Linked DNA regions of Arabidopsis thaliana. The protein of the gene in region 1 interacts with the protein of each later gene in a pairwise test. Each region holds a gene or a part of one and is shown on either strand. Other genes may lie near its edges.

Region 1 (6,480 bases):
TAAGCCAACAAATAACAGAAAGTTACTCTTCCAGCCATGTAGGCTGGCTGGTGGTCATCAGCTTCATTTCCAGCACTGCCCTGAATTAGCGAGACCACAATGCTTGCGGTATGCATATTGGAGCAATGCAATCTGCAGGGGAGATTTGATTTTCAGTGAAGAGACAGTTGACAATGAAAGTTTTGAAACTATTCCAGACTTACCGTAGTGAACACAGGTCTGGTGCCGGAAACTGTTAACTTTAAAACCTAGATATTTACAAGATGATCAAGCGAACTATCTGCCCCATATACTTAAATGCCTTTGCCGTTTCCTTCAAGCATTTGTTCTTCTCGTCCCGACTCCAGTGCTTCATTTCCCAAAAGCATCACCAAAACATCAGATTTTAGCAACTGGTGGAATGAAGAGTTATAATTTTCATTGACAATCTGACCTCCCCAAGCACGTTAAGCTTCTCACGGACGCCTTTAAGCAAGTCTTGTGCATCCCCTTCCCACCTATTGAACTCCAGCTCCTTTCCTTCCAGAAGTTTCTCAGATACCTTAATGAATCAACTGATCAGTTACATTTGAACACCTCGCATATAAGGGTTACCAAACAATTATGACAGTCCAAATCATGGGATATATTGATAAAAGTAAGAACCAGAACACAACAGAACCAACAAAAAGAATGTACAGTTATGATAAATCTCAAAAATAAAGACAAAAGCATAGTTCACCCGTTGGTTAATACCACATTAACCTAACTAACAGTCGGTTAACAAGTTCTTTTGGGGCAAGCTTTAAACTAATTGAGCAAGCCTGGTGTTGGTTGGTTTTGGTTTAGGATCTGAGTGTTTCTTTATCACAGTTCTATTTGTAAGTTGAGTCTCAATGAAGAAGAATGGAAATCTTCTCACATTCTCATTCTCATTCTTATCGCCACTCTCTCATACCCACCATAACCGCAAAACTCCCGATAAACCCAACTCTCCTGAATCCACTATATCTATATCAATCTCTAACTCTATCAAACTAGCTGTTACCATTCAATATCCTAGATGTGACATTATGCAGTTGAAAATTTCTTCTATGTTACTCTGTGAACACTTATCAAAGAAACTAACCTGTCTTACAAATAACTTGACCACCAGCAATGTGTGAAAAGTATACTAAAAACCAGCAAAACTCCCGATAAATCGAACTCTCCTGAATCCATTTATATCGATACTAATCTTTAATATATCGAACTAGCTTTAACCATTCAATATGCTGGATGTGACCTTATGCAGTTATATAACTCTTCTATGTTACTTTATGAAAGCTTTCCAAAGAAACTAACCTGTCTTACAAGAACTTGACCACCAGCAATATGTGAAAAGTAGATACTGTAGAAATGAGAAAGAAACAAAGGAGCACTTTCTCCTGCTTGTTCTTCCAAATACTTTGCATAAGAAACTCCTACATTACTTGGTTCTGGTATAACCAAATCTTGTTCTCTTAACCATTGTAGATCCTTCTCAATACTTTCACATCTCTCTAATCCTGTTCTCCTAAAGTAAGCATCTGTACATTGAACACAAACCCCATTAACCCAAATCATTACCAAACTGTCAAATTCGAGACCAAAGTAGGGTTCTTACAAGACACATTCTCAGATTCGTCAACAATTCGTTCAATAGTATCGAAGACAAGCTTGCTATCAACTAAGTACTTAAGAAACCCTTCTTTGCTAGGCTTCCAAGTCTCTTCCTTTACTTCATCATCATCATCATCGTCTTCTTCTTCTTCTTCTTCTTCCTTCTCGGTGTCAGTTTTATCTTCAGAAAGATCTAATTTTTTACCATTAACATTGCGTAATCTCATGGCGACGAATCTCATTTCCTCAGTTATACCAATGTTTTCTCCTGGGTATTGTTTCCTGTACCTTGTTCTCTTCCTCTGTGAGGCCTTTTGTTGTGACGGTGTTGGTGTCGAACGACATAGATTGAGAAGATGCTTTTGTGGCTTTCTCTGAGTTGAGATTTGGAATGGGAAAGAGATAGATGTGTGAAGATGAGAGTGAGTGAGCTTACGAGGTGTAGAGAGTAATGGAGTTGGCCTGAGAAGAGAAGCCATGGATTCCGACGACCAAGATAGACGCTGCCTTCACTTTGATTTCTCGCTTTCAGCCTAATCGACAAACATTGGAAAACCAAACACCCTTAATTTTGTTATTATTTACATGTCATGCCATTAATTATTTCATAACTAGCCTAAATAGGGCAGATGTAAAAAATAAATAGTTTTTTTTATATTTACATTATGCTTAGATTAGTTGATAAGCCATAAAAAAAAGGCTTAGATAATTAGATTAGTTGAGATAACTTTGGTTTCAGTACGTACGTGTCTATGTATTATTCGCCATTATTCTATTAGTATAATGTATGTTGAAAAATGACCAAACATTTTAGAGCATTTCCATCCATTAAATATTTATTGACTTTATTCAAACGTACAAGTGACCACAATGTGGTGCAACCTTTTTATTAATATAAATCCAAACGTGCATTAGTGAAACAAACGAATCATCAACAATATACAAGATACAATAATTGATCTCTTTAGATCCTAATTGGAGCTTTTGCATGAGGTGAACGAATGTCTCGGATCTTCTTTTCTTTTGAAAGTATTCCTGCTAACCTTCACAACCAAAATTTAAATATATTAGCAAAATACTTTTAATCACCTTAAGTATGAAAGAATAAAGCTATAAAATGCAAAAATTGGGCCACTTACTTTATAAGAGCATGTTCATTAGTCGTTTCATAAGCATTTTCGTTACAACCCGAGTCTAGGTTGACTCTTGCAACAGGTTTTTTAAGTAGTTCATCTCCTGTCTTGGCAAGAATGTCCAGATTCTCGACGGTAGCGATATCAACAGAAGCAGCATCCCCAGTTAATGTGTCATCCTATATAATTAATACCCAAATCTTAGGAATTGTGGAGACAAAGAAAAAGAAATGGTTAGTGCGCTAGCTGATTTTGATACCTGGATGCGAATATAGTTGGCTTCGGAATGAAGAGCTCGAAAAACGGCAGAGAGATGGAAATCAACCATGTCGGAGCTAGCTTGCGAGAAAGCATCAATGATAGGTGTAGAGTTGTCGTGTGTTAACCAATTCAATAGTCCCCAACCAGCTACTTCTTTTGCATTGAATTTCTCTTCGGCTTTATGATTTCCGGTTCCAAGCGAAAGCACAAGAAACCTTCCGTAATCATTTGGTCTTATTGGGAAAAAGTCACTGCTTCCTCCTGAGATCTCATTTGTTACTTCCCCAATGGCCAACAAAGCCTATACTTGACATATAACAACTATATCATGATCTATTCAAGATTTTTACAGAAAACTCGTATCGATTATTATAAGAAATTCCATAGTAAAAAATGAAATATAGTCTAACATTGTGTGTTCATGTTATAATTATTCAATTTAAGTCCATAATAATTGTTGATATATTATATTCTTCGTATAAAAACCCTATTGCTACATAAATGATAAATCCAATATTTAGAAATTTACCGGGTTGTTAGCTGCAACTCCACCATCAATAAGATTGTATTCTTTAGCGTTTCCGTTTAAATCTTCAACTTTGAAGAAATGGGCAGGCAAGTATGTAGGGGCAGCTGAAGTTGAGATGGCAATGTCTGCGAGGGTTGCGTCCTTGAGAGGATGGTTTTTTACCTATAAAATAGTCATATATATATTAAACCAAAGTTTTGTTAATTATTATATTGTAATTTCACAAATAGAACAAGCTATAAACAAACCTCATAACTACTAAAGATAGTAGGTTGAAGATGCTTGATATCGAACGTTGGAATGACAACGTTGGTAAGTGTTTGACTCAACTTTGTATCACCCAACTTAGCGTGGATAAGCTGATGAAGGTATTTACCGTCATATTTAGGACCAGTCAAGGACTTCACGAGTTTTTTGGCGGCTGAGAATGGGAAATGATCTTGAGGGAAGATCTTCGGACATTGCTCAAGATAGAAATCTTTAATTTCAGACGCTGCAAATAAGGGTCGGCCTTCCTTATTAGGCGCGGTGAGCATGGCTGTCACTAGACCACCGGTGCTTGTTCCCGCTATTACATCAAAGTAGTCTGCAAGCCTTGCTTCTTCTCCATCCAATTTCTATGCATCCATGTATATATATGAGTTAAGAAAATATAATTTTACAAACATAATATTTGTATAGTTAGGTAGCACATATATACCTGGAGTTCGGACTCGAGAAAACCAAGGATAACGGCAGGGATTAGCCCTCTAATGCCACCACCGTCGATGCTGAGGATTGTAACTAAGTTTCCATAGGTCGGGGGCTGGAGAGGAGATTTGGGGCTGTCCATTTGCATCTTACAGAACAAGCAAAGCAATGTATTGATATTTCTTTTTTTTAATGGATATCAATGTATTGATACTTGAGGAGATAGAACTTTGATTGTGAGATATTATGAGAGGTTAATGAACTCTATGTATTTATAGGACACTAGTGGCTGCTGTTTCAAAGTTAGACCATGTCTTCATTCTTAGGATATTAGCTTGTCAAATTAACTTGCATACTTCGTCCTTTGGTTTGAACTCTAATTCTATTGGTTCTTGTTTCTTCCTTTGTAGACAACATGGACTTTTCGTGAGCCTCTTTACTTCTTCCACATTAAGACCATGTCAACCCTTTTATTACAAAACTACAATGTTTTTTTTTGTTCAAATGAAATTAACTTCCCCATTTTCGGGTTTCTTGGTATGTCACTTTTTTCTAATGAATTCTAAGCTTTATATAATTTTCGTTTAGATTCTGCTCACGAGTTCACACACAAAGGATCGTTCTTCTAGTCACCTAGAGACGATGTTAATGAGAGAAAACAACCTACGATGTAATATTACTGCTACTTATACTTCCAACAATGAATCTTTTGTATAAACAACGTAAGCAACTAAGCATGGTCAATTGGTCAAAGAAGTTACTTTACGTTCAATATATTATGGGGTAAAGACAGCTGTGTCATGGGAGTTTTGAAAAAATCAGTGCCGTGACAAATAGAAAGTTACAAAAAATATCTTTTATGGCAATATTAGAAAATCTTTAGTATTTTAGCCGCCGCTCAATACTTATCCCCCAACACTGCAACTTTCTTTCATTGACCAAATGAAGTCAATTTGTACATACAACAATTTGTTTTTCATTTAACACCCTTAGTTTACTATACTCAATTCAAATAATATAAATATGCATATTTTCCCAGAAAAAATACTTTTATTCTTTCTAAATCCACCAAAATTCAAAAATAAATATTAAATTATTTATTAATAACCTTAATTTCAAGTTTTTTTGTTTATGTAATATTTGATCATTTAAGGCAAATAGAGACATACTCAAAGTCCAAGTTTGATATAATTTGTAAAATTATAATTGATTTCAAAATTTATAACACATCTGCTAGACCGTGAGTAATATTAAATTCGAATTGTCACTGATGGTTAGTCACATATGTAAAAAAGTTTGAAAGAGATTTAAGCTATATTTATTGGTTTTAATAAAAAAAAAATTTATGGTTGAACCTCACAGTTACAAAAATAAAAATATATTAAAAGAAAAGTTTTTTTTATTACAAAACAATTTTTTTTTATTGAGCAATAACTTCTTGATGTGAATGTTTTATTGAGCAATATCGTTTTTTTTTGTGGTGCTCTACCGTAAAATTTCGTAATGTATTTTTGGAACAATTGACAAAGAAAAGAATAGAATCGCATATATTATTATTATTTTCCGCGAAAACACTTAGAAATTTTGTGAGCAATATACTTTTATCCTTTCAAATCACATGATTCGACATTGATATGCTGGAATATCTTTTTTTCTCAAGACATGCAAAGTTGAAGTTTCTTCATCATTGAGTTGATAGAATTCTTTGATTAGATAGATAAAGAGATGGAAAATGAAGTTGACACTTTTATTCTCACCCACCAATGTGAAGTATTTACAATTGGTTGTTTTTTGGATCCCAAATTGCAGTTGAAATGATGACAAGAAAAAAAACTGCGGTTGATAATCACCAATCAAACCTATACTATTATCCCTGTATCCCAATATAAAATCAAGAGTTGTACTTGTAATTATATTTAAGTTTGTCTATTTAAAACTATAATGCAAAGAAATGGTTACATTTGTTTTTTTTTCTTATTCTTTTTCACCGGTTACATTTGATTTAATGTAATACTTTTAGAATTAAATAGATCTTGCATTTCATACAAATTTGTATGTTTGAACATTTGCAAAGTGTTATATTTTATTAAGACCAATTGGAACCCAAAATCAATGAATAATTTTGATACGGCAAATCATCAATCTCGAATATGATTAGTAAGTGAGTGAATGTGTACCAAAAATGACACCTTAATTCGTCGTCGTCATCATCTTATTACAATTATCCGATTAGCAGAATTATTATTT
Region 2 (5,735 bases), on another chromosome or scaffold:
CAATCACAATAACCTAACTAACAGAGAATTCTTCGAACCTAAAGGCATGACGATCCAGCCTCGAATTGGTGAGGTAACAAAGAAGCAAGAACCAATCAAATCTATGGATACCAAATAACTACTTAACTAAGTAGTGAACAAGCATTGCTTCTTTGCTTTGAAGAAATCGATTAGAACATAAATCAGATCGTTTTTGTGTGTATACCTACGAGAGTAGACGGTGAAAGCGACGGCCACGGCCATGACGGTGACAGCGACAGCTAAACCAACATTGGAAGGAATAACGGCCGACGACCACAATCCACCGTAGTAGCCATTTCTACCAACGCCGCCGCCGCTGCTACCGTCGGCAAAGACGATCCATTTCCCGGCGATGATCGGGGAGAAGAAGACCTTCGTCAATCGTAGTCGTGGAAACATCATCCCAAAACTAGGGATTTTGCTCACCGAGATTTCTTCTTCTGATTCTCAGAGTAAAATCATAGCAATTTCCTGAGTTGAATTGGATGAAAATTGATTATTGAAAAAGTCGAAGGTCGTTTATAGAAATTGGGCCCACTTTTTTAATGGGCCTTCATACAGTTGGGTCATTCTTTCTTCTTTCCCCCCCTCCCCTCCTCCCCCCCCCCCCCCAAAAAAAAGAATGGTTGTCATTTTATTTTTATTTTGTTAGTTTTTGGTTTTTGTTTTCGATTTTTGGCTTTTGCACTACATCTTTCTTTTAAAATTGTACAAAAAAAGAAGAAAAAAGAGACAAGTATCCTGAATTTTCTAAGAATCTCAAGTTGTATGAATTCTAGATTTGATTTAAGAATTGAAGGAACAAATTAAAAACCAGTTTCACTAAATGTAAGAAGTTGATGGTCTCATAAAAATTCCACTTGATGTTTTTCATGAATACTATGAGAAATGATGATTTTTCATGGTGGTATCGTCTATGATATTAGACCTTCTATTTGTTGTAGCTGACTTTATTAACAGATATGTGTATAGTCATAACCTCTTATGCTTATTGAGTTATTTAACATGAACCTCTCTTATGCATATAGTTATCTAACAAGAACCTCTCTTATGCATATAGTTATCTAACATGAACCTTCTCATTTTTAGTATCAACAACCTTCTCATTCTCAATATCAACAACTTTTTGCGTCAATGAAGACTTTTTTTTATCGTAATTATCGTAATTTGTTTGGAAATATTTTCAAAACAAAAAATCTTAATGATCACTTTGCAGTTTGCATTATAAAATAAAAATAAAATCAATCGAACGGCTGAGATTTCCAGGCAGAGGCAGTCAAAAGCGAGAGATCCTTCCAGCCAAGACGGAGGGTTCCATTCTCTTCAACCAAAGTATATCCATTCCACGGTAACATACCCAACAATAAACCCGCTTGTGTCGCCGGGTTACCCCGAAGCGAAACAGGTCTAAACCCGACCCGGCTCAGTTCTTCTTTCCACTTCATTCTCTTCCTTCTTCCTCCTCCGTGCGCCACAATGTTTCTTATCTCCGTCCCCAAAACAATCTGCTCCACCGTGAATCTCTCACCACTCTCTTCACCCAATCCATCTCCTAGCGCGTCAAACAACGCGCTATAATAATGCAAAGCCTCCACGAATCTTCCTAAAAAGCTTCCTCCATCGTCGTAGCTCAATTCTTGCTCCACCACCGTGATCAGATTCGGTTTCAGCCTCCGTAGAATCTCCAACGTCTCGAGATTGTTCCCTGTAACATCATATAACCGGTGCTGCATCCAATGAACCACCACAGCTTCTCCTTGTCTCGTTGCGAGTTGGCTCGGATCGATTAGGTTTCCGATTATGCCTTCAATTGGATGAAATTCGAAAGGGAGGTTTAACGATGATGCGAAATCGGCGAGTCTCCGGCCAGTTGAAGCGAGTAGATCGGAGGAGGAACCAAATCCGGTGATTCGAATTGATCGGAGTTTTCGAGGACGTGAAGCGAGGATGTGAAATAGAGCCGGCCATTGAAGACCTTGCATAACATCGAGATCGATGATATGAACGGAATCTTCTCCGTCAAGCGCCTGAAAAATGGCTTGATTCGCCGTGAAATGTGAGAATTTGATCAGAGGACTAACGGAGTTATAAGTCTGCAAGGCGGAGAAGATTTTCTGAGACTGAACAACAGTGAGTGGTTTCTCGGAGAGGGGAGAACACGCGCCGGAGAGGTAAGAGCTGATCACGCGCGTTTGTAGCGCTTGAGCGAAGTAAGCGACGACTCGCTCCGGCGAGGAACCGAACGGAGAACATATCTCGGAGATTTCGGATAAAAGTGTTGAAGCTTCACGGAGATGATCAGTAGCTACGTATTCGGCGCATTGGAGGAGTAAGCTAAGGAGTTTGATTGCGGCAGCACCGTCGTTTTCGAGTGTTTCTTCGGGGAATTCGATACGGCGTTTAGCGGAGGAAGGATCGTCGGAAGATGGGAGATCTCTGTCTATGCGTTTTGTAGTCATGGAGATTTTGTGAGAGTGGAATCATTGAAGAGAGAAGAAGAAGAAGCAGAAGATAGAAAAAAAAGTGGAGATTCGAAAAGAGAAAGGGTTCGAGAGAGTAATGACAGGAATTTTGAAGAGTGAAGACAAGATAGTATTTTGGATGGATCAGTTTCTTGAAAAGATTTTTATCTTTTTTGCAAAAGATTCAATGTTATAATCAAGTGCTCTTTGTGAAGATTACAGCTCCTTCGATTACTCTTTTTTTCTTTTCTTTTTTCTTTCTATTTACTTAAAACCATTTTTTTATTTGTGAAGATTAAAACCAACGAAACCAAGTGAACAAACCCAATTGGAAAAGATTTGGTGAACTCTCATGTTAATCGTTTATGTGTAGAGACTAGAGACATTAAAAATGTACCACTTAACCAGAGAGATTTAATTTGTCAGTTGTTTTAGTTGAATTTGATTTGTAAAACAGTTGTTTTAGTTGAATATAATTTCACACATTCATTCAAAAAAAAAAAAAAAAGGTCTCATGGATTGATACTTAACCAGAGAGATTCAGAACCATCTCCACCTTTTAAAATCAAAAGTTCAAAACAATAGACCCATTAGTTTAAGTAACCGTAAATGGACATGACTTAACTCCATTGAAAACCATATAAAAGCCCAAAGGCCCATTAATGACTACAACAAATTCAAAACTCGATTGTTAATTTTCTTTTGACCACTTTGACTTTGCGCCTGTGATCTTCTTCTCAAATCCATCCATGTACGCTCTCTGAACTTCTTCTTCTTCTTCTTCTTCTTCGTCGGTGGTCCTAGGGTTTCATCGTTCCCAGAAATTTCATCCAGTTGTGTCAATTGGAATTGATCTCTACATAAATTGTTTCCCTCAACCTCTATGTTTCCGTGATTCAAAACCCTAATTTGTGTGTGTTTTAATCGCGTTTCTAGTTATTCGGTGATGGATCAAACACAGAACACAATCGCCGGAATTGGTGAAATCAACGGTTCGATAAAAACCGAAATCAATGCAATTGCAACCGTCGACGATTCAAATGAGAAGCTGAACCAAATTATAAACTCGAATCAGAAAATTTTAGAACTCCTTCATCAATTAAAACTCACCGTCTCTTCTTTCACACCTGCTTCTCAGCTTCACCTCCTCCAACGCCTGTAACTTTTCTTCTTCTCTATTGATCCATTGTTTTGAGTATTGTGTGATTGAAATTTTGTCTCTATCTGCAGCAATTCTCTTGTGATGGAGCTTGATAATATGGCTAAGTTGTCTGATAAATGCAACATTCAAGTCCCCATTGAGGTTCTTAAGTGAGAACAAGTCCCTTTTTAGACTCTTTAGAGAATTTTTGTTGCTCTCTTATGTTTATATATCTTTGTTTGTTGTAGCTTGATTGATGATGGGAAGAACCCAGATGAGTTTACAAAAGATGTTCTTAATAAGAACTGCATTGCTAAAAATCAAGTTACAAAGGGAAAGAGTGATGCTTTTAAGGTGACTCCTTTTGCTCTACTGGTTCTCTCAATTTGGCCACTCATGATTTTAAAGTCGACATTGTTTGGTACAGGGTTTGAGAAAACATCTCTTGGAGGAGCTTGAACAGGCTTTTCCTGATGAAGTCGATCGGTATAGAGACATACGTGCTAGTTATGCTGCTGTAAGTTGTTGACGTTCCTTTGTTTCTCATCTGAGATAGTTTCTACAATAGTTAGTCAAGGTGATAAATTTATTTTCATTTGAATTCAGGAAGCAAAACGGTTGGCTCAAACGCAAAGTGTGTTACCAAATGGGGATGCTAAGGTCAAGAGTGAGCTATAAGAGCTATGAATCTTGCCTTTTAGAATAAAATTTTCAAGTAGATCAATGAGGATGTAAACGAACAAGCCTTCTTGGAATTTCTATAACATCCGTTGGTTCTTTTGCACTTGACTAATATAGTTTGAGAATTTCTCCTTAGCTTTCTGAGGTCATGACTCATGAGGCTGTTAAATAGTCACTCATAGGTTACAAATAGACTAGTCTCTTAGTTCTATCGATGGGTTTTGTACCTAGTATGTGATAGATTCCTATCAGAGACATAAGATTTGCTTTTTACTAGGACGATTAATCTTGGTTCTGTATAAGATAATCTTCTTGCCGAAAGAAGAAGTGATATGGCTTTGCATTGAGTTGGTTGCAATTTCAATTTTTGTCTTATCTCTGGTTAAAGGAAGCTTCTCATTATCTTTAGCTGTAGTAATGTTAACTACACAAGCATCGTGTTTAGATTGGCTTCTGTTTGACCACTCTCCAACTAGAGGGTGGTATTTATATATTGATGGTCTGTGTGTTTAAGCATTGTGTTACTATTTCCAATAGTTCTCATCACCGAAAACCATGCTCTCAAAGATATATTTCCTTTTCTCAACCATTCTTACAAACACATTTTGATAAATGTCTTTGATCACTTCCTTCACGCTTTTACTATTTCAACTACCAAGGGATCATACAGATTTGTAGTTTAATCAGATACTATGGCTCTGCTTCGTTTAATCAGACACTATGGCTCTGCTTTTATAGTCTCCATATCAATACTTGGTTCTCCTGCAGCTGCAGAAAACCAGTTTTCAGTGACACCATGTGAGCTGTTGTAAAGAAAGATGAAGGACGCGGTTCTGTCCATAGGGAGGAGGCTCAAGAGACTCGTAACCGGCATCCAACGTAATGCTTGGTGTTGGACCTGGCTCGTCTATTCTGAAACCATACAGCGACCTTTTGGGGATGCAGAGTCAGCTAGTGAGCTAAGTCCTGAAGAACTTTGAGTCTACCTCCAACATGAACAGCAAAAACTTCGAAACACAAATGAGTTTGGTGTGCCTCTGTTCCATTAAAAACTTAAAAACGCAAATGAGTTTTGGTGATATATGTTATGACAATCGAAATGATTAGTGAATATGATCAAAGAGTAATAATGTTACATATCTTAGTGGTAGAAAGTAGAAACCTATAACCAAGTGGTTTTGGTCTAATGGTAGCTTTCTATGACTTTTTAAAGATTTGTGTTTCATAGGATTTTCTAAAGGTTGCGAAGTTGATATTCCGATAAAAAGATGTATGAGTTTCGATCTAAAATTTTCCGAATATTACCTAAATAGATAAAAGATTATTGTATATCAATTTTAAATAATTTTTCTATGACTTCGTTAAACGAATTTGTTTTGCAATATTAGATGAAAGAATACTCATAAATCAAAAACGTAACTCCTTCTAAA

Evidence for each region. Proteins that work in one complex are often made in the same cells at the same time.
Region 2: the proteins of PLA2A (region 1) and AT5G41920 interact in binary tests that used the Arabidopsis thaliana proteins (3 or more experiments, as listed by UniProt).

What each region holds. Positions count from the first base shown.
Region 1 is NC_003071.7:11,291,328-11,297,807, forward strand, and holds PLA2A (phospholipase A 2A), read right to left. Parts: upstream 4,592-6,480; 5' UTR 4,382-4,591; coding exon 4,244-4,381; intron 4,161-4,243; coding exon 3,792-4,160; intron 3,706-3,791; coding exon 3,544-3,705; intron 3,316-3,543; coding exon 3,013-3,315; intron 2,933-3,012; coding exon 2,760-2,932; intron 2,664-2,759; coding exon 2,585-2,663; 3' UTR 2,375-2,584; downstream 1-2,374. Other genes in the region: HO2 (heme oxygenase 2), read right to left, coding at 257-349, 434-541, 938-1,020, 1,109-1,190, 1,324-1,547, 1,625-2,099. UniProt on the Arabidopsis thaliana protein: Possesses non-specific lipolytic acyl hydrolase (LAH) activity.
Region 2 is NC_003076.8:16,776,727-16,782,461, reverse strand, and holds AT5G41920 (GRAS family transcription factor), read right to left. Parts: upstream 2,820-5,735; 5' UTR 2,481-2,819; coding exon 1,263-2,480; 3' UTR 1,038-1,262; downstream 1-1,037. Other genes in the region: AT5G41940 (Ypt/Rab-GAP domain of gyp1p superfamily protein), read right to left, coding at 206-423; MED10A (Mediator complex, subunit Med10), read left to right, coding at 3,430-3,641, 3,714-3,794, 3,873-3,978, 4,052-4,141, 4,231-4,302; AT5G41908 (uncharacterized protein), read right to left, coding at 5,024-5,179. UniProt on the Arabidopsis thaliana protein: Probable transcription factor involved in plant development.